Linked DNA regions of Callithrix jacchus. The protein of the gene in region 2 interacts with the protein of the main gene of each other region in a pairwise test. Links are inferred from orthologs where the notes say so. Each region holds a gene or a part of one and is shown on either strand. Other genes may lie near its edges.

The links.
Region 1: the proteins of TLE5 (region 2) and STX11 interact in binary tests that used the Homo sapiens proteins (3 or more experiments, as listed by UniProt). The two-hybrid records come from large-scale screens. The link is inferred for Callithrix jacchus from reciprocal best matches to the Homo sapiens genes TLE5 and STX11.

The regions. Positions count from the first base shown.
Region 1 is NC_133505.1:150,898,957-150,908,941, reverse strand, and holds the start of STX11 (syntaxin-11), read right to left. Parts: upstream 5,325-9,985; 5' UTR 5,119-5,324; intron 1-5,118. UniProt on the Homo sapiens protein: SNARE that acts to regulate protein transport between late endosomes and the trans-Golgi network.
Region 2 is NC_133523.1:2,826,424-2,835,853, forward strand, and holds the end of TLE5 (TLE family member 5), read right to left. Parts: intron 7,966-9,430; coding exon 7,902-7,965; intron 6,555-7,901; coding exon 6,510-6,554; intron 5,587-6,509; coding exon 5,524-5,586; intron 3,572-5,523; coding exon 3,497-3,571; intron 3,420-3,496; coding exon 3,198-3,419; 3' UTR 2,285-3,197; downstream 1-2,284. UniProt on the Homo sapiens protein: Transcriptional corepressor. Acts as a dominant repressor towards other family members. Inhibits NF-kappa-B-regulated gene expression. May be required for the initiation and maintenance of the differentiated state.

The DNA of each region.
Region 1 (9,985 bases), on a different chromosome or scaffold from region 2:
ACTTACTCTGATAGATGGTTTCATTATTAGTAAAAGTCACAGAATGGTTGTTAGAACTGGGAGGAGCCTTAGAGATGGCATAACAGAGCCCCCAGCTGTAGCTATTCTCCTCTCTCAGGGAAACCACAGCTGAATTGGACAGGCAAGACAAACCCACATGAAATATTAACCAAACCCTTCCCGTTCCTGTGATCTGAGCACTGAATGAACCATAGGCAGTCACCTAAAAGCCAGACCAAGGGGTAGACATATGGGCTCTATCACCCTGCAAGGCTTCATGTCACTCTCATCTCCTGGGCAACTATAAATATGCTGATTTCCCAATCAATCTGAAGAAATGATGAGCAAAACATTTAATTCATGTGTGGAGAAAATATTTTAAAACCAAGTTTCACACATTTGAACATTCTCCCCACCCCTGCCACTGCCCCCAGGCTCAAGCAGGCCTCCTGCCTCAGCCTCCCAAAATGGACATTTGAACATTTTAAAGCTCCAATAAGTGAGTTTGCTGATTCAGTTTGGGTATAACATTCATCGGGCGTTTTAAACCTTACATGGTCCAAAGTAGAGATCTTTGAGGAAGAGATGAGGAAGGCAGCTTTGTGGACACAATGGCTTAAGCTCTAGGAACCTCTGAATGTCTCCATTAAAATGTAAATTCCCAGGAGAAAAGGTCTGATTATTCCAGGTTTCTTCCTAGATCAATTCTTAGTCCCTGATTGCTGAACAAAAATCAGGATATTAATCCAAGTCAGGGTAGGTTGAATCATCAAACAATGAAAACAGTTAAGAGTTGGGATCATTTTGGGGGATGGGTGGGGAGCGGTGGACAGGGTTGTTGGTCAAAATGCCACTGTTGAGACCAAAGAAATCTACCCAGGTGCCCCATATAGAAAGCAAGCTCTGAATGCAAGATACCTGAATCATTTTGCCAAGCTAAAGTCAAGAGGACAGGAGACACAGCAGGGCCAGGCTCACTTAATAAGATTCTGGAAGTTAGAGTAAGTAAGGCACCTCTTCAGGGTAAACTAGAACAAAATAGGATTCGGAAGGCAGATCACAAGTTAGGAATGTAAGATCTGGAGTTGTTATGTACCTGTCTGCATTTGTTAGTGATTCTTCCACCATTGGATCCTGCTCTGTAGATTAACGCCTCCCAGCCTCTCTGCTTCTATGGAAAATCTTAGCGACAAAACATTGGGGGCATCTGAGAAATATGAAAAGCTCGGTATTCAGTGTTTAGGAAGGATGGTAACCAAGGCAGCTCTGTAGACACAATGATTGAAGCATTTGGAACCTTCAGACACTGAGTCTCCATTAAAATGTTTAAATTCCCAGGATAAAAAAGTGTTTGATTATTCCAGGTTTCCTCCTAGACGAATCAGGTATTTCTTGGAGTGAAGGTGGTGGGGAGTGGGATGTCATGTAGCACAGTAGGGACACTGAGGGCCCATTGTATGCATCAAGGCCATTCTTGGATAAGGAAGAATTGTTACAGGCAGGAGAGTGACTTCAACCTGAGTTTACCACAATGTCCAAAATCTCATTGATTCATTCATCAAGACACACACCACAGCAGAGTGCTTCAGAATGCAAGCTCTGGAACCAAGTGCTTGGGATCCATTTCTGGCTCTGTCAGTTACTAACACTGCAGCAGAACTCCAGTCAAAGCAGTTAATTTGAGTAACTATCTCACAGTATTGTACTGAGGAGTAAAAGGCTTAATGCAAATAAGTGAGCATAGGATAGTACCTGGCCCATAATAAGCACGCGATACATTTTAGCCATGACTAGCATTCCTTTGAAAAATCTCAATGAGCACTGATTATGTGCCAGGTATGGTGTGAGTTTCTCCCCATCCTTTAGCCCAAACCTATTTTCCACTGAGGAGGATATTCTTTTCCTAGTCATTAATTAGAAATGTGGGCGTCATCTTAACTCCTCCCACCTCCTCACTGCCCATTTCTAAATACACACCCAACTGGGTTCCACCTATTAAACGTCTACCAGTTCCTTCCCTCTCTTCCAGTCTGCACTGTCACTGCCCGATTCAGGCTTTCTTTCATGTCCCATCTCCAATGTTATAACAGTCTCCACTGTGTCTCCCTAAGGTCAATGTCACTCTCCTCTAATCTAAGATTTACAAAATTCTAAGTTTTGCTATTGTTTTTTCAAACACATACCTGACAGTATCATTCACTTGTTCAAAGGCCTCAGTACTCAGTACTATAAACCCTCAGGTCCCACATGGCTTATGGGCCTTTGTGATCTGGCCCTTCCTGTCTCCGCAGCCCTTACTCTGTGCTGTCACTAAACAGGCTGGAGTTTCCCGAACGTCCAGTGCTGTTTCACTTCTCTATGTGTGCTGTTCCTTCTGCTGGGTCACCTATCCTTCCACCTGCCTGAAAATTCATCCTCCTATATGAAAGTTCATATTTCATCAACAAATGATGAAATAAATAAATCATCAATAAAATTTATGGATGAAATCAATATATTCATCACTTTCTTACACCTATCATTAGTCAAACCTGGGCCAAATTCAGGGAGTACAATGCTGAATAATATACTCCACTCTTTCTTCCTCATAGAAAAAGTAACCTTAGGGGTCTCAAAGGAGGAAGAAAGTTTGGAAATTAAGGCCAATTTGTCTCCAATTTAGCATTGTTACCTTTACTAGTTGGGTATCTTAGCAAACTGGGGAAACTTGGAAACCTTGATACTTGGGCATCAAGTCTAAAAGCCTCTCAGCAGATTTCAATTGCAACAGTAAACTGTGATACAGTATGTTTATGCATTTGGGCTCATATGGCTATAACGTGCTAAAAACATTGATTTGAACTGCAAAAACAATGATCAGAAACTTGCCTCAATATAGTGTTATCAATTTATAAACTATTAGGCAGGGCATGGTGGCTCACACCTGCAATCTCAGCGCTTTGGGAGGTCAAGGTGAGCAGCTCACCTGCAGTCAGGAGTTTGAGACCAGCTGGGCCAACAGGACAAAACCTTGACTCTACTAAAAATACAAAAACTAGCCGGTTGTTGTGGTGGGAGCTGGTAGTCCCAGCTACTTGGGAGGCTGAAGGACGAGAATTGCTTGAATGCGGGAGGTGGAGATTCCAGCAAGCCAAGATTGCGCCACTACACTCCAGCCTGGGCAACAGAGTGAGACTCTCTCAAAACAAAACAAAACAAAACAACCTATTAATTAGTCATACTATTTTCTAAAAGTCATGCTGTTAACTAAAGGTGACTGCAATTGTCCAGGGGTGATAATCAGCTGAGTTTAGTTTCACATGGTTATTAAATAGTATGAAATATGGTTCATTCAAATGCTTTAAAAACCATACCTTTCTAATTCATATTTTTTAAATCATGTATCAAATGAAGAATAGGCTGCCTACAAAGACAAGTAAATGAGTCAACTCAAAAGCTTCCTCGCTTTTCCAGCCATGACCCAGTCCATTCCAAATCCCAGATCTGCAGAAACATCAGTCATATTGGGACAGAAACTTCACTCTGGGCATAGATGTACCCTAGCACATATATAATGGATTTTCCAGTGTATTTAAATAAACTATTATTTAGTCACACTATTTCCTAAAAGTCACACTATGAACTAAAGGTGACTGTAATTATCTAGGGGTAGTAACTGGCTGTTTAATTTTTAAATACACTGGGACCCAGCTTACTGAGTTATATTGGGACAGAAACATCCATCTGGGTGTAGATTTACCCTAGCAGCTTGTCAGCAGGATCCTTTTATTCCTAGTTGCACAAGCAAGGTTCAGAGAAGAGGCTGGCACAGAGAAGGTGCCTGGTAACTGTTGTTTGGGGCTGAACTCAGCTCAACTCAGCTCCAGTAGAGATGGTGCTCCCTTTTCTATCATGTTGAGAGCCTGTGCAGACCTTGCCTAAGCGCTGCTACCCACTACAATGGGACCTGTGAGTTTCAACTTTTAAATTTCTCTGCTCCTGCTGGGACCTACCCACTTCAAAAATCGTCGTGTGGTTTTAGCATCAATTTAGTAAATACAAATTGTTAGAAATATTTTGATTTTAGAGAGTTACAGTCACCACATTAAATGATACATTTCTACCATGCAGTGAAAATGAGGACAAAATGGTCACTAGATACTGAAATTAATTTTCCCTTGGGCTTCTGTGGCAAAGCACATGATTTTAATGGTTATCTTAGATCAGCCCAGTGACCTTTACTGGCATGTTGTAACATCAGGCGCCTTAGGAAACTGAAAACTCAAATCATCACTACCCATACCACTGCCCCAGGTTAGCAGGGCAGGCATTTCACATCTAGAGCCTCATTTTAAATACAGACAGAGCAAGCCTCGCTTTTCAAAAAGTTCATTAACAAAGTCTCACAATTAAGAGAGCAGCCGTGTGACTCATTTTTGGATACCCGTAAATAACAACTCCTCCCTTTGCTGAGAAACGGCTGAAACAAGTGCGTGAGAACCACAGGAAGTAATACAGAGCTCAGCTGGTGTCAGAGGAGTCTAGAAAAAGGCAGAATTCCCTCTTGGACAGAGTGGTTCTCGCAGGATTGCCACTACCCTTCCTCTCCATTTTTCTAAAACAAAGTCTTATGTGGGCTTTGAAGGGACTGCTCCAAGGCTCTATCAATTTCTCCGTCTCTCCCGGCTTCTGGGTGACAGTGCCAAGTTCAAGTCAAGAGGTACCCATTCTGGTGTTTTTGACACAGTCACCCTAATAGGAAATGAAGAGGTGATAACAAAGAAACACTTCAGCCTTTCAACTTAAAGGTAGTCTTAGGTGGACGCTTTATAAAGGCAGCCTACCAACGGGTATCCCTAAAATAATTCCTATGAAGCGCTAAATTCTCAGTCCCTTGGCCTCTGAAATTAAAAGTAATTCAAAAAATATCATTCCGCTTTATATGAGAAACCCAGTGCTGTGTTCTCGAAGGTGCCCAGAGGCGGCGTGAGGCCCTGCACCAAAACCCACTAAGGCACCGCCGCGGATCCGGAGCCCAGACAGTGTCCCCGCCCCGGCCCGCCCACCTCCCCGCACTCTCCGCGCACCGGGAATAGGTAGAGAAATGGGGAGCTCAGGGACAGAAAAACAAACCAGTACCCGGAGCGAGAGTTCGAACCGAGAAGCCCCTATCCCGGCCGGGCGCTCGTCCCCCGTGGGCGCCGCGTTGGGGAAGGAAACCTGTTGCGCGACTCCCGGCGGCTCGGCTCCCGGCGCCTCCCGCGTCCCCTGCGGCAGAGGCTGGGCTCCTTCACTGCGGCCCGAGCTCCGCCCCGCCGCGGCCGCATCTGGGCGCCGCCGGCTCTGCCCTAGCCGCTTAGGAAGCGACCACAGCTGGGGACAAGGCCCCGCCCCGGGATGACAGCGCCGGGGCGCGGCGGCTCGCGGAGCGCAGGTTCCCGCCCCGCCCGGAGTCCCTGCGCTCGGGACCGCCCGGAGCCGGGGACGCGCTCCAGCACCTCCCGTACGTCTCGGGGAGTTCCCGCGGGCGGAGCGGACCCTCGCGGGGAGTGGGAGGTTTGCAGCCAGAGGCACTTCCTCTGCTCATCCTCCGGTTCCTAGGGCAGGGAGCGCGGTGGACTTTCCCCGGGAATCCCCGCTGCGCTGATGACATTTGCCGTCCGGTGCGTTTCCGCGGCGAGGACGGTGGAAGCGGTCTCTGAGCGTGGGTGTGGCTGCCGAGGCTGCAGCAGGTCCTGCACCCCCTGGACCTTCCAGGAGGCGGGCAAGGAGCCTGCGGTCACACAGCGGCCGACCACCGCCTTCCCAGAACCCGGCGGCCAACCCCTCTCCAGTCGGCCTCAGGACCCTACGGGCTCATCATTCCCTGGATATTAGCTGAGCGTCCCCTTGTGTGCCCAGGGTACCACCGCTCTCAAAAATACTGCCAAGACCCCCCCTCCAGGTCCTGGCACTTTAATGGGGAGACATAAACAAAGTGTGGATTGTGCCAGGTGGCGGTAAGCACCTTGAAAAACAAAGGTGAGGCTGAAAAGTAAGTGAGATTCAAAAAGGGAAATCGGGCCAGGCGCGGTGACTCGCGCCCATAACCTAGCACTTTGGGAGGCTGAGGTGGGAGGATCGCTTGAGCCCAGGAGTTTGAGACCAGTCTGAACAATATGGTGAAAGCCCATCTCTACAAAAAATACAAAAATTAGCTGAGCATGGTGGCGCGCCTCTGTGGTCCCAGCTACTCGCGACGCTAAGGTGGGAGGATCACTTGAGCCCAGGAGGTCAAGCATGCAGTGAGCCTAGATCCTGCCACTGCACTTCAGCCTGGGCAAAAGAATGAGAAGGAAAAATAAAAATAAAAAACGAATCCTGCCTTGATGGGAGAATGTTTAAACACAGAACTACCTGAAAGAGCTCCCAGTTGCCAAAGATGGAACCATTTGAGCAACGAAGTAAACTAAACAAAGTCTTATTGGATTAAAAGCCAAAGTAAAAAATATCCATGAGTCTACACTCATATAAATAAATAATTGAATAAATAAATAAAAGGCAGAGAGGAGACAAATCTCCTACACAGAATAATTCCAAATAATTTATGTAGATCATCTACCGTAGGCAGTGCACAGTGACTTCCTCCAAAATAGTACAGTATGGAAAGGGGAAAAGAGTAGCTTTACAATGGAGAAAGCTGACAGACACTACGCCAGCCAGATGTTCTAAGTAAACGTCAACAATCATGAATTATATTGATGACATGTAGTTAATACAATGTGATGAATATGGCCCATTACCTCTGTGGTCTTCCTCCCCAAAACCCATAACCACTGTCTCATAATGAGAAAAATACCAAACTAATTTCAATAGTGGGACATCCTACAAAATACCTGACCATATTCCTCGAAGTTGTCAGGTTATCAAAAGTAAGAAAAGTACAGTCCAGACGTGGTGGTTCACACCTGTAATCCCAGCACTGTGGGAAGCTGAAGCGAGAGGATTGCTTAAGGCCAGGAGTTCAAGACCTGGTCTGGCCAACATAGCAAGACCCTGTCTCTACAAAAATTAAAAATAAAAATAAGGAAAGTCTGAAAAACTGCCACAGCCTAAAAGAAGCTAAGGAGGATGTGAAAACTAAATGTAATGTGGTATCCTGGATGAGATCCTGCGACAGAAAAAGGACTTGGGGAAAAGCTAAGGAAATCTAAGTAAAGTAAGGACTTTCATTAATAATAAGAATCAAGGTTGATTAGTCTTGAGGAATGTAATGTAAGATGCTAATCATGGAAAATCTGAAATAGAATTTATGGCAATTCTGTACTACCTTTGCAATTTTTCTGTAAGTCTAAAACTGTTCTAAAAGATGCAGTTTATTTGCTGGGCGAGGTGGCTCATGCCTGTAATCCCAGCACTTTGAGAGGCCGAGGCGAGTGGATCACGAGGTCAGGAGTACAAGACCAGCCTGGCCAACATGGTGAAACCCATCTCTACTGAAAATATAAAAAAATTACCTGAGCGTGGTAGTGGATGCCTGTAATCCCAGCTACTCAAAAGGCTGAGGCAGAGAATTGCTTGAACCCAGGAGGCAGAGGTTGCAGTGAGCCAAGATCACACTACTGCACTCCAGCCTGGGTGACAGAGCAAGACTCTCCATCTCAAAAAAAAAAAAAAAAAAGAAAAGAAAAAGGAAAAAAAATACAGTTTATTATGAAAGAAAGTAAGATAAGAGGGATGAGGTGTGTTATATTTTTTAAAATATGTATATTGCAAAGCCCTATAAGATAAGAGAATCACTGAGGGAGAAAACAATGCAGCTATTGGGATTAAGATCATTTCAAGCTTAGGGATCAGTGGATGTAAAGGCCCCAAGGCAGGAGCATGCTTGGCTTCTGGGAGAAATATCAGGGTGGGCAAAACAGAGTTCAGTAAGAGTGATGGCGGTGGGGCTAGGAGTGGGGAATAAAGCATGTATGGCATTGGTGGTCATGATAGTCTTTAAATTTTACATTGAAGGCTGGGCACAGTGGCTCATGCCTATAATCCCAGCACTTTGGGATACTGAGGTGGGCAGATCACAAGGACAGGAGTTTGAGACCAGCCTGGCCAACATACTGAAACCCCATCTCTACTAAAAATACAAACATTAGCTGGGTGTAGTGGTGCACGCCTGTATTCCCATCTACTCAGGAGGCTGAGGCAGGAGAATCACTTGAACCTGGGAGGCAGAGGTTGCAGTGAGCTGAGGATGCACCACTGCACTCCAGCCTGGTGACAGAGCGAGACTCTATCTCAGAAATTTTTTTTTACATTAATTGAGATAGGAAGACTGAAGAATGTTTAGCAGAGAAGCTAAATGATGTAGCTCATTGTTTTTTTTAGTCCACCATTTTGTTGAGGATAGATTAAAGGACAGATTAAAACAGGCCAACGAGTTAGGAAGCTGTGATGGTTAATTTGACGTGTCAAATTTTATTTGGTAAAACATTATCCTGGGTGTATCTGTGAGGGTGCTTGCTGATGACATTTTTAATTTTTTTTTTGAGGAAGGGTCTCTCTGTTGCCCTGGCTGCAATGCAGTGGCATGATCATGGCTGCCTGCAGCCTTGACCTCCCCTGCTCAAGTGATCCTCCTGCCTCAGCCCCCTGAGCAGCTGGGACTGCAGGCATGCACTACCACACTCAGCTCAAGTGATCCTCCCACCTTCGCCTCCCAAAGTTCTGGGTTAACAGGCATCAGCTACCATGCTCAGCTGAGATTACCCTTTGAATCCACGGGGAAGACTTCCTGAAAAAGTAAATTGTGGATGGGGAGTAAAGGGGAAGATTGCTGGGGATTAAGAGTAGCATTTTGGACTCCTTCAGTTTGGAGTTGTCAAGTTGTCACGAAGGCAGTTGGTTAGGTGAGTCTGGGATGGTGGGGTATATCTGGAGGTCTTTAGCATATAGATGGTGTGCAGGCAGAATGGGGATGTCTGAAGTCTGAGTCCTGGCGTGCTCCAAAGTACAGAGGTTAAGAAGATAAAGAATAAAAAAAAAAAAAGAAATTGAGAAGGTCTGATTTCTGAGATAGATAAACCAAGAGAGAACATGTTCCAGAAGCCAAATGAAAAGAATGTTGCAAGAAAGAACGATTTACTGTCAAATGCTGCTACAATGTATAAAATTAGGACTGAAAACTGAGCAATGGACTTGGCCACAGAGAGGTCAGTGGTGAACTTGGTAAGAAGAGTTTTAGTGGTGGGATGACCAAAGCCTGTGTTTGGGGTGACCCCAGAAAGACTAAAAATGGCAGATGAAGACAAAGAAATGGAATAGAACATGGAAGGAACCATATAGTCAAAGCAGTTTTTTTTTTTTTTAAAGTAGAAGGTACACGTGTTTGTATGCTCCCAGGCATGAACCAAATGGAAAGGAAAGAAGGATGATACAGGAGAGAAATGGGTTACGTGCTGGAGCAATGTTCTTGAGTAGATAGATGAGCAGGTGTGTGACGCAATGCACAAATGGAAATTTGGGGTTAAATAGAAGAAAGAGTTCACCCCTGGTAACAGGAGAGAACACCAAACTGAAGGTGCCCAAATGCCACTCTTAATCCCCAGCAATCTTCCCCCTCCCTCCCCATCTGCAATTTACTTTTTCAGGCAGTCTTCCTCATGGATTCAAATGTTAAGAGCTGAGCATGGTAGCTTGCGCCTATAAACCCAGCACTTTGCAAGGCCAAGGTAGGAGTATCACTTGAGCCCAGGAGTTGGAGACCAACTCCCTGGGCAACATAGGGAGATCTCACCTTTACTAAAAATCAAAGTATTAGCTGGGTTTGATGGTACATGCCTCTTGTCTTAGCTACTCGGAAAGTATGGCAGAGATGCTGGTAAATGTGGAAGGAAGAATTTATTTTATTCATGAAATACAAAGCAAGGTCATCTGCTAAGAGTGAGGAGTGTGGAGGAAGTTTGGGGAGAGAGGAGAAAGTATGAAAGTCATCTAGAACAGTGAGAAAGTCAATAGACTTGGAAAATAT
Region 2 (9,430 bases):
CGTCTTGGCCTCCAAAGTGCTTGGATTACAGGCGTGAGCCACCACATCCAGCCTTTTTTTTTTTTTTTTTTTTAAGACAGAGTCTTGCTCTTGTTGCCCAGGCTGGAATGCAGTGGCGCAATCTCAGCTCACCGCAACCTCTGCCTTCTGGGTTCAAGCAATTCTCCTGCCTCAGCCTCCAGAGTAGCTGGGACTACGTGCCTGCCACCACATCCAGCTAATTTTTGTATTTTGAGTAGAGACAGGGTTTCACCCTGTTGGTCAGGCTGCTCTTGAACTCCTGACCTCAAATGATCCACCCGCCTCAGCCTCCCAAAGTGCTGGGATTATAGGCGTGAGCCACCGAGTCCAGGAAATGGCCATCTTCTATTTACCGGGTGGGCAGCAAGAGGTTCCCTTGACCCAAGTCCCAGAGCAGCCAGGGGCCGAGGCCAAGACAGGAGAACTGGTGGCAATCCCTTCTCCCGGCTTTCCCAGGGCTGGTCCAGCTTGGGTGAGGCAGTTCCAGCTGCTCCGAGGCTCAGCTACGGGGGAGTCAATGTTCTCCATGAGTATACTGGCCAGGCGCGGCGGCTCACGGCTGTAACCCCAGCACTTTGGGAGGCCAAGGCGGGAGGATTGCTTGAGCCCAGGAGTTTGAGACCTGGTTATCATGGTGAAACCCCATTTCTACCAAAAAAAAAAAAAAATATATATATATATATATATATACACACACACACACACACACACACACACACACACACACAAAAGGTATGTGGCTATCATGGTGCACGCCCACCATTCCAGCTCAGGAGGCTGAGCCTGAGGTGGGAAGATCGCTTCAGCTCAGGGAAGTTGAGGCCGCAGTGAGCTGTGATCGCACCGCTGCACTCCAGCCTGGGCAACAGAGCGAGACCCTGTCTCAAAGGAAAAAACAAAAAGAAGTATACCTGTGTGGGCACTGGGGCCTCCTCTTTCTCTAAGGGAAAAGAACGTCATTTAGGTCCTCAGGTCTCCGGTGCCGAAGCCGGCTCTGACACTTAGTCGCTATTTTAAAAAATAAATAATTAATTAATTTTATTTAGTTATTTTTTGAGACGAAGTTTCGCTCTTGTTACCCAGGCTGGAGTGCAATGGCGCGATCTCGGCTCACCGCAACCTCCGCCTCCTGGGTTCAGGCAATTCTCCTGCCTCAGCCTCCCGAGTAGCCGGGATCACAGGCACGCGCCACCATGCCCAGCTAATTTTTGTATTTTTAGTAGAGACGGGGTTTCACCATGTTGATCAGGATGGTCTCGATCTCTTGACCCCTCGTGGTCCACCCGCCCCGGCCTCCCAAAGTGCTGGGATTACAGTTACAGGCTTGAGCCACCGCGCCCGGCCAAGAATTAATTTTTTTAGAGAGATAGGGTCTTGCTATGTTGCCCAGGTTGGCCTTGTATTCCTGGCTTCAAGAAATTCTCCCACCTCAGCCTCCCCACCTTCTAGCTTAGGGACCCCTTAGCCTTCTCAGGGCCCCTTGAGCAGCTATCTAAACATCAAGCACCTGGGTCATGCTGTGTGACCTGAAGTCTCCAGTTTGCCCTCTCTGTGCTTGGCATCAAAGCAGCGTAGGCCAGATGCAGAAGTGTGACCCACCTAGGAGCTCTTTTTTTGAGACAGGGTCTCAATCTGTCCCCCAGGCTGGAGTGCAGTGGCACAGTCTCGGCTCACTGCAACCTCCGTCTCCTGCGTTCCAGATCCTCCTACCCCAGCCTCCTAAGTGGCTGGGATTACAGGAGCGCATCACCACGCCCGGCTGGATTTGGTATTTTTAGTAGACGTGGGGTTTCACCATGTTGGCCAGGCTGGTCTCCAACTCCTGACCTCATGATCCTCCTGCTTCAGCCTCCCAAAGTGCCGGGATTACAGGCATGTCACTGCGCCCTTTAATTTGCCTTTTTAAATTTTTTTGAGAGAGGTTCTTGCTGTCACCCAGGCCGGAGCACAGAGGTGCTATCTTAGCTCACTGCAACCTCCCGAGTTAAAGCAATGCTTGTGCCTCAGGCTCTGGCGCCAGCACACCTGACTACTTTTTTATTTTCACTAGAGACGTGGTTTCGCCATGTTGGCCAGGCTGGTCTTGAACTCCTGGCCTCAAGTGATCCACCTGCCTTGGCCTCCCAAAGCGCTGGGATTACAGGTGTGAGCCCCCGTGCCCGGCCTCACCAGGGAACTCTCGATGTTCTAGGAGGGTGTCTCACGCTGGATGGGCCCCCCCACCCCGGGGCAGCCCACGACACAGAGGCAGGAACACAGCACGGAACCTTCTCATATCTTTATTTGAAAGGCACAGCTAAGCCCACCCTTGATACAGCACTTCCACTTCTCTGCAGAGACCAAACGACAGGACACATCATAAGCTGACTATATACAGACACAGGTGCGGGTGTTGCTTTTTTTAAAAACATTTTTGTCTTTTTTTTTGTTGTAATATCCCCTTCTTAAGAGACAAGCTAGTATACCGGAAAAAGAAACATAAGAAAATAAAAACCAAGACAACTTCAGTACCCTCATCTTTATTTGGGAAGGGGAGGGGGAGTCCTGGGTCGCTCGCCCTCACCCTGCTCCTCCCAGCTCAAGCTCAGCTTGCTCCCCTCCCCGTGCCCCCTCTTTTGTGGGTGACGGGAGAGGACCAGGTGGGCATAGAGGCATCTGGAACTAGCAGAGGTGGTGGGGGGGGGGCAGGAGGTGGAGGTGGGAGCCTATCTGGGGCCCGGGGTTGGGGGAGACTCGGGGTGCCCAGGACGGGAAGGGGGCGGCTAGCATTGCGTGCATGCAGTACCAGGGTGAGCGCGCTGTGGCGTGTGCCCCGAGGGGCCCGGGCAGACCGTCAGTGACACGTGTTCAAAATGGGGGAAGTGACAGCGGTGCCGGACTTGGCCAGCAAGTGCTCCCTTGGGACCTGGGCTCCCATCTGACCCTCCAGGCCTTAGCTTGCCTCGCGTGTCGGGGCAGGTACCCACCTATCCGGGCTGCAGGGGAGGAGGAGGGAGGCCGGGACCGGGGTAGGAAGAAAGCTAGGGCTGGCCTGCAAGCCGAGCTGGGGCGCCACCACAAATACTCCGGGAGTCTCGCCAATCCCCAGCTCTGCCGTGTCTGTGCTACACATTCCCTTCTCTCGGTGTCTGTCTCCCCTCTGTCCCCCCTCCCACCCTCCCCGTCCCGGCCCCCTGCTAATCCGACTTCTCGCCGTCGTCCTCCTGGTGGGTGTCACCGTCGTGCCCGTTCTTGTCTTCCTTGGAGAGGTGGGCCTGGGAGCCCAGCGCCGACAGTGAGAGGAGGCCGGTGCCTGCGCTGACCGCCGGCAGCGAGGGCGGCTGCAGCCCCACTGGGAGTGGGGTGAGGGGCAGGGCCAGGGCCTGCAGCTGGGACAGCTGGTGGGCTTGGAGCTGCTGCTGCAGGGCGTGGGGGGGGAGCGTTAGCTGCCTGGGGCCCACCTGTGCCCCGCCCCCCGCCCAGGTCCCATACGTACTCGGATGATGGAGTTCAGCTCAGGGGCGGTGACCTGCTTAGCCCTCTCGATGGCTCCCAAGACCTGCTGCTGGTGCTGGAAGAGGGGGAGGGGGAGGCAGTGATTCCTCTGATCCTGGTGGAGGGGGGGGCTGAGGCCGGGAAAAGCCCCACTACCAAGCGGGTGGTCATGTCCACTCCTCCCAGTGGTTGTCAGCCCCATCAGAAAGCGCCCTCCCTCTCCAGCTGCTTCCTTCACCAAGCCTGATCTTCAGCTGGCCAACAGAGGCGAACGGAAAAGTCCAGAAAACCATGAAAAGTGTGTGTGCGAAGTCGTCAGGAAACGGCCTGTGAGCGAGCCCGGGAGAAACCCTGGATGCCGACCACTCTCACGTGCAGAGACGGGAAAGATGAGAATCTCGGTGCAGTACGCAACCTGCCCAACTGTACAGGGACGTCGGTCCTAAGAGCTCCGACACTGCCCTGACGTCGGCCAAGTTGAGCCCTTCTCCTTCCATGGCTGGGGAAGGCCCAGTGAATTCTGGCGGAGGCCAGCCGGGGAATGGGCCCAGGTTCTGGGCAATGCCCTCCCCAGCTCTTCCCAAACAGCTGACTCTCTGCGGCCAGCAGATGCTACTAGAATCTACCAGTCTCCCTTTTCGCCTTGGCTACCAGGAAGCATCTGTTCTGAAGGGCTCCAAATGCCCTTTTCTCTAAGGCTTTCTGTCTTTTTTCTTTTTTTGAGATGGAGTCTCACCCTTTCGCCCAGGCTGGAGCGCAGTGGTGCGATCTCAGCTCACGGCAACCTCCACCTCCCAGGGTTCAAACGATTCTCCTGCCTCAGCCTCCCAAGTAGCTGGGATTACAGGCACACGCCACCACGCCCAGCTAATTTTTCGTATCTTTAGTAGAGACGCGGTTTCACCTTGTTGGCGATGGTCTCGAACTCCTGACCTTGAATTCCTGACCTCATGATCTGCCCACTTTGGCCTCCCAAAGTGCCGGGATTACAGGCGTGAGCCACCGTGCCTGTCCCTCTCGAGGGCTTTCATTGGGTCCTTCTAGACTTGTCCCTGGGCAAAGCAGGGCACCCAAAAGATCCGGAGATACACACGCAGGAATTGAAAAGGATATTACAGGCTTTTGACAGTAAACCCAGCAGGGAACAGGAGACGGGCCTTACGTGGCCCTGGGGAGGGGCGCCTCACATCCTGAGCCTCAGAACCCAAGAAAAGAGAAGAGGAGGCCGGGCGCGGTGGTTCACGCCTGTAACCCCAGCACTTTGGGAGGCCGAGGCGGGTGGATCACAAGGTCAAGAGATCGAGACCATCCCGGTCAACATGGTGAAACCCCGTCTCTACTAAAAAAAATACAAAAATTAGACCGGGCGTGGTGGCGTGTGCCTGTAACCCAGCACTTTGGGAGGCCGAGGCAGGAGAATCACGAGATCAGGAGTTCGAGACCAGTCTGGCCAACATGGTGAAACTCCATCTCTACTTTAAAAAAAAAAAAGGAGCTGGCGTCAGGTTCCTCTGGGTGTGTGTGTGCAAGTGTTAATGTGTGCGCGGGATCACGTGTGCCCACGTGTAGCTGCACCTGTGCCTGTGTCTGTACTGTCTGCGTGTGTGTCTCTCCCGTGTGCTGACGCCCATCTGCGTGGCTGTGTCCCTGTGTGGCTGCCCGTGCCCCCCCCCCCCGCCATCACACCCACAGGTCCTCTGTCCTCTGCCGCCCGCAGGGCCTGGAGGATGTCTGAAGAAGGGAAAGCAGGAAGATACAAGGAAAACCTTCCCGGGGCAGTTCCCGTCGACATTCCTACCTATGTCATGACGCACTCCAGCTGGGAATTCCAGAGCAGGGTGAGGCCCGCCCTCCACACCCCTTCCCTGGCCTGGGGATTTTTCTGCACAGGCTGGCTCTGGTGTCCAGAGCCGGGAGGCCTGTGCCCTGGGGTGCCCAGCGCACCACCTGAGATGGCTGCAGGGGGGCAGGGGCTGGGCACGTGCAGGCCCCCACTCCGGCACCGCCTCCCGGGGCCCTGGCTCTTACCTCTTGGGAGAGGTAAGGCAGGACCTGGGCACAAATCCCATTCAGCCTCTTCACGATCTCCGCCTGGAACACACAGAGGAAGCCGGCTCCAGTCCTGGGCGGGTGGTGGGGAGAGGCCAGCCCGACGAGGCCCACACGAGGGCCCGGCCCGGCCCTGCCACGTGGGGCTTCTCTCTGAGAGGAGCTGGGTCTGGCCCTCGTGTGGGCCAGAGGGTGGGATGAGCAAAGCCATGTTGGGGTCGAGGGCAGCCGGTGGCAAAGGTGGGCCTCGAGGCTGGCGGTCCCTACAGCTTAGGGTGCAGCGAGGTGCAGGAGGCCACACTACACTGGGGCTCGGTGACTCTGAGAGGACCAGACCCTGGCAGGTAGTAAGCACTTGTGGGAATGTAGGGAGGGCTGTGCCCCTCCCCGCCTGGAAGAAAAAACTTCCAGGGAGGCCTGAAAAAGAAACGGGGTTGGGAGCTTGGGAAGGGCTTGGGAGGTAACTGGATAACAGGGCTGGCTTTGTGCCCAGTGAGGGCCTGCTGCTACCTGCCTGGGGGTGCCTAAGTCGGGGCTTGGGGCTCGAGGTTGGGGGGAGGGAGGAGGGGGGAGGGAGGAGGGAAAGGGGAGAGGAGGAGGGAAGAGAGGAGGAGGACGAGGGGAGGAGGAGGGGGAGGGAGTGTAGGGGGAGGGGGAGGAGGAGAGGGAGGGGGAAGGGGGAGGCGGAGGTGGGGGAGGGAAGAAGAGGAGGAAGGGGAGGAGGGCGAGGAGGGGGAAGGAGGGGATGAGGGGGAAGGAGGGGATGAGGGGGAGGGGGAGGAGGGGGAAGGAGGGGATGAGGGGGAGGGGGAGGAGAAGGAAGGAGGGGATGAGGGGGAGGGGGGGAGGAGGAGGGGGGAGGGGGAGGAAGGGATGAGGGGGAGGAGGGGGGGAGGGGAGGGGGAGGAGGAGGAGCAGGGGAGGGGGAGGGGGAGGAGGGGGAGGGGAGGAGGAGGAGGGCGTACCTGTTTGTGCATCTCTATGTTCAAGCCGTAGGACATCTCGTAGTACTATTTGGGGGAGAGAGAGAGGGAGCAGGAGATGGGGGTGGGGAAGGATGGGGGGGTGAGGAGACAAAGAGACAGGGGAGTGACAGAGACAGACCAAGTGGGGGAGACAGCAAGAGACAGCTGAGAGCAGGAAGAAAGGGAGAGGCAGGTGGGAGGGAGGGAGTGCAGGAGAGAGAGACACCCACACCCAGCATGGCAGCCAGCCTGCCCGGGAGAGGGGGCTGGGGGCCCGCTAGGGCTGCGGATGGAGACTGGGGGGCCCTCTAGGTCCCTCGCCCCGGCCTGGCTCCTCCCCCACTCCGCGTGCATGGAGAGAACACGCATTCCAGGGCTCCTAATCTTGTATCTTTCTATGTCTTGACTGCGGGTGGGCCCCAACTCCGGGATGTTTGCCTGCCTGGGTATAAACAGTGAGGGCAAACGAGCCTACTGGCTCTGGCTCTGGGGCCAGCAGCTCCCCTCATCCCAAGCCCCAGATCTGACCCTGCCCCTCCCTTGCTCTAAACCCTCCCGTGGCTCCCCGTCACCCGTCGGGAGAAACCCAAGCTCATTCCCAGGCCTTCACGCGGTTTCTCCTTCTCTGCCTGGTAAACTCCTACTCATCCTGCAAGAGCCCAGCTGCGTGCCCCACTTCTCCATATAGTCTTCCTCATCCAGGTCCTAGGTCCCTCTCTCTGACCCTGGCTCCATCCCTTCTGACTGCCAGGGTCAGAGTCTGGCTCTGCCTCCCCCAACAGTCTGGGAGATCTGGGTCCTGGGCTGAGACCCTAGTATCGCTGCTCGAGGGTCAGGCCAGGGTGGGTCAGGGAGGGGATTTCTGATGCAGAAATTGCCACCTGGCAGTTACAACACAAGGCAAAGGATTCTAGCAGCAGTAATGCAGTGTCACACCTCGATCCCCCCGCCCCCTGAAATGAGTAGGGCTCAGACCCCCTCCCACAGGCTTCCTCTCTCAGCTTGGCCCAAAGGGGTTAAGTGGGGGGCCCTTGGCAGTGGGGAGGGCCTCGGCTGCTCCCCCACGTCAGTTCCTGGCTGTTGGCTTTCACAGCCTCCTCCTCCTCCTCCTCCTCCTCCCTCCTCCGCTGCCAAGGACAGCCGGGGGACCTGGCAGGCCTGGTCTGCAACCCGGCGGCTTGGCAACTCAGCCACCTCCTCGGCCAGCTGCCAGGCTAGTGAGGCAGGCTCAGCCCAGCAGGGGCCGGCTGAGTGGAGAACAGGCCCTGAGCCCGCACGATTCCCAGGGGAGGTGGCCCGGGTTTAGGTAGCAGCTGGCCGTGGCGGGGCGGTGGGGTGTGGGAGGCCCTGTCCCCGCCCCGAGCACCGGACCTGGGGGTGGAGTGACTTTACCATCACGTAGTGACGCTGCATCTCCGACTTCTCGCTGGCCAACTTGTCACATTCCAGCTTCAGGCTGAGGAGGCACAGGGGGAGACCGGGTGGTTGGTGGCAGATGGGCGGGACCCCCCACCCTCTGTTATCCAGGGGAGGAAACTGAGGCTCCAAGATGCCTCGACCCCCCCGAAAGGGCGCAATCAGCCCGTTCTCAGAGGGTCAGACAACAACTCTTAATTTTTTAATTGAGATGGGGGTCTCCCTATGTCGCCCAGACTGGTCTCAAAAACTCCTGGGCTCGAGTGATCCTCCTGCCTCGGCCTCCCGAAGTGCTTGGGATTACAGATGGGAGCCACCTGCTGTGCCTGGCCGAGGGAGCCAGGAGCTTTGGTGGGGCTGAGGGCATTGAGTTGAGGGGAAGGGAAGTGGGTAAGTTGAGCTCCCTGTGATTCGGGGGCGAGGGGAGAGCGCCAGGGCCGCTGACGGTAAGGAGGGGGTGATGAAACCCCCCTTGAAGATCTGGTGGAGGAGAAAGAACGGACATTATAGAAACACCAGAAGTCGGAGGGCGCTCGGCATCGCGGCCTCAGAGACTTTCACAAGCCTTTACCTCTCACGATCCGGATGTTCCCGCAGCGTCATTGTCACGCTCCTTTTATAGATGACACAGTGGACACCCAGAGAGGGCGAGCAATCGGCTCAAGGTCACACAGCCAAGAAGCAGCCCAAGCTTTCAACCACAGGGGAAAATTTTCCAGACCCAAATAGAAATCTTAAAGAGGCTGAGAGGGTCCAGGGCTGCAAGGCAGCTCCCAGCTGGCCTTCCCAAGGGGACCCTAGCTTCGTGGGGGCCTGAGCTTCCTGGGGAGACCCCTCAGCTCCCTCTATTCCTTCCTGTCTTTTTTTCTTTTTGAGACAGCATCTCGCTCTGTCGCCAGCCTGGGATGCAGTGGCGCGATCTCGGCTCACTGCAGCCTCCGTCTCCCGGGTTCAAGCGATTCTCCTGCCTCAGCCTCCCGAGGAGCTGGGATTACAGGCGCTCGCCACGACGCTCGGCTAATTTTTGTGTTTTTAGTAGAGACGGGGTTTCTCCATGTTGGCCAGGCTGGTCTCGATCTCTTGACCTCATGATCCACCCACCTCGGCCTCCCAAAGTGCTGGGATTACGCGCGTGAGCCACCCCGCCCGGCAGCCTTTTTTATTTAGCTGTGACAAAACACACCATTTCTCCAACTCCACCTGGGCCGTCCAGGTGGCTTATGCCACAGTTTCCTTCTTACAGGCCCTCCCGGGAGGGATGAGCTTCCAGGCGTTTCTCAAAGCCCCCATGAGGGTGTCGTCGCCGGAGGGAGAGGGTAGGAAGGCCTCCCAGTCCAGGAAAAGAACTCGTGATGCAGTGGGGGAGGTGGACAAGCCCGTGTCCTTTACCCATTTAAATCCAACCCAGCACAGCGGCCCTGCGGACCTGGCTCTGGCTGACCTGCTCCGACCAGCCCCGGCCCCTCCCGGACTGGGTTGAGAGCTTGGCCCTGCGTCTTCCCTGC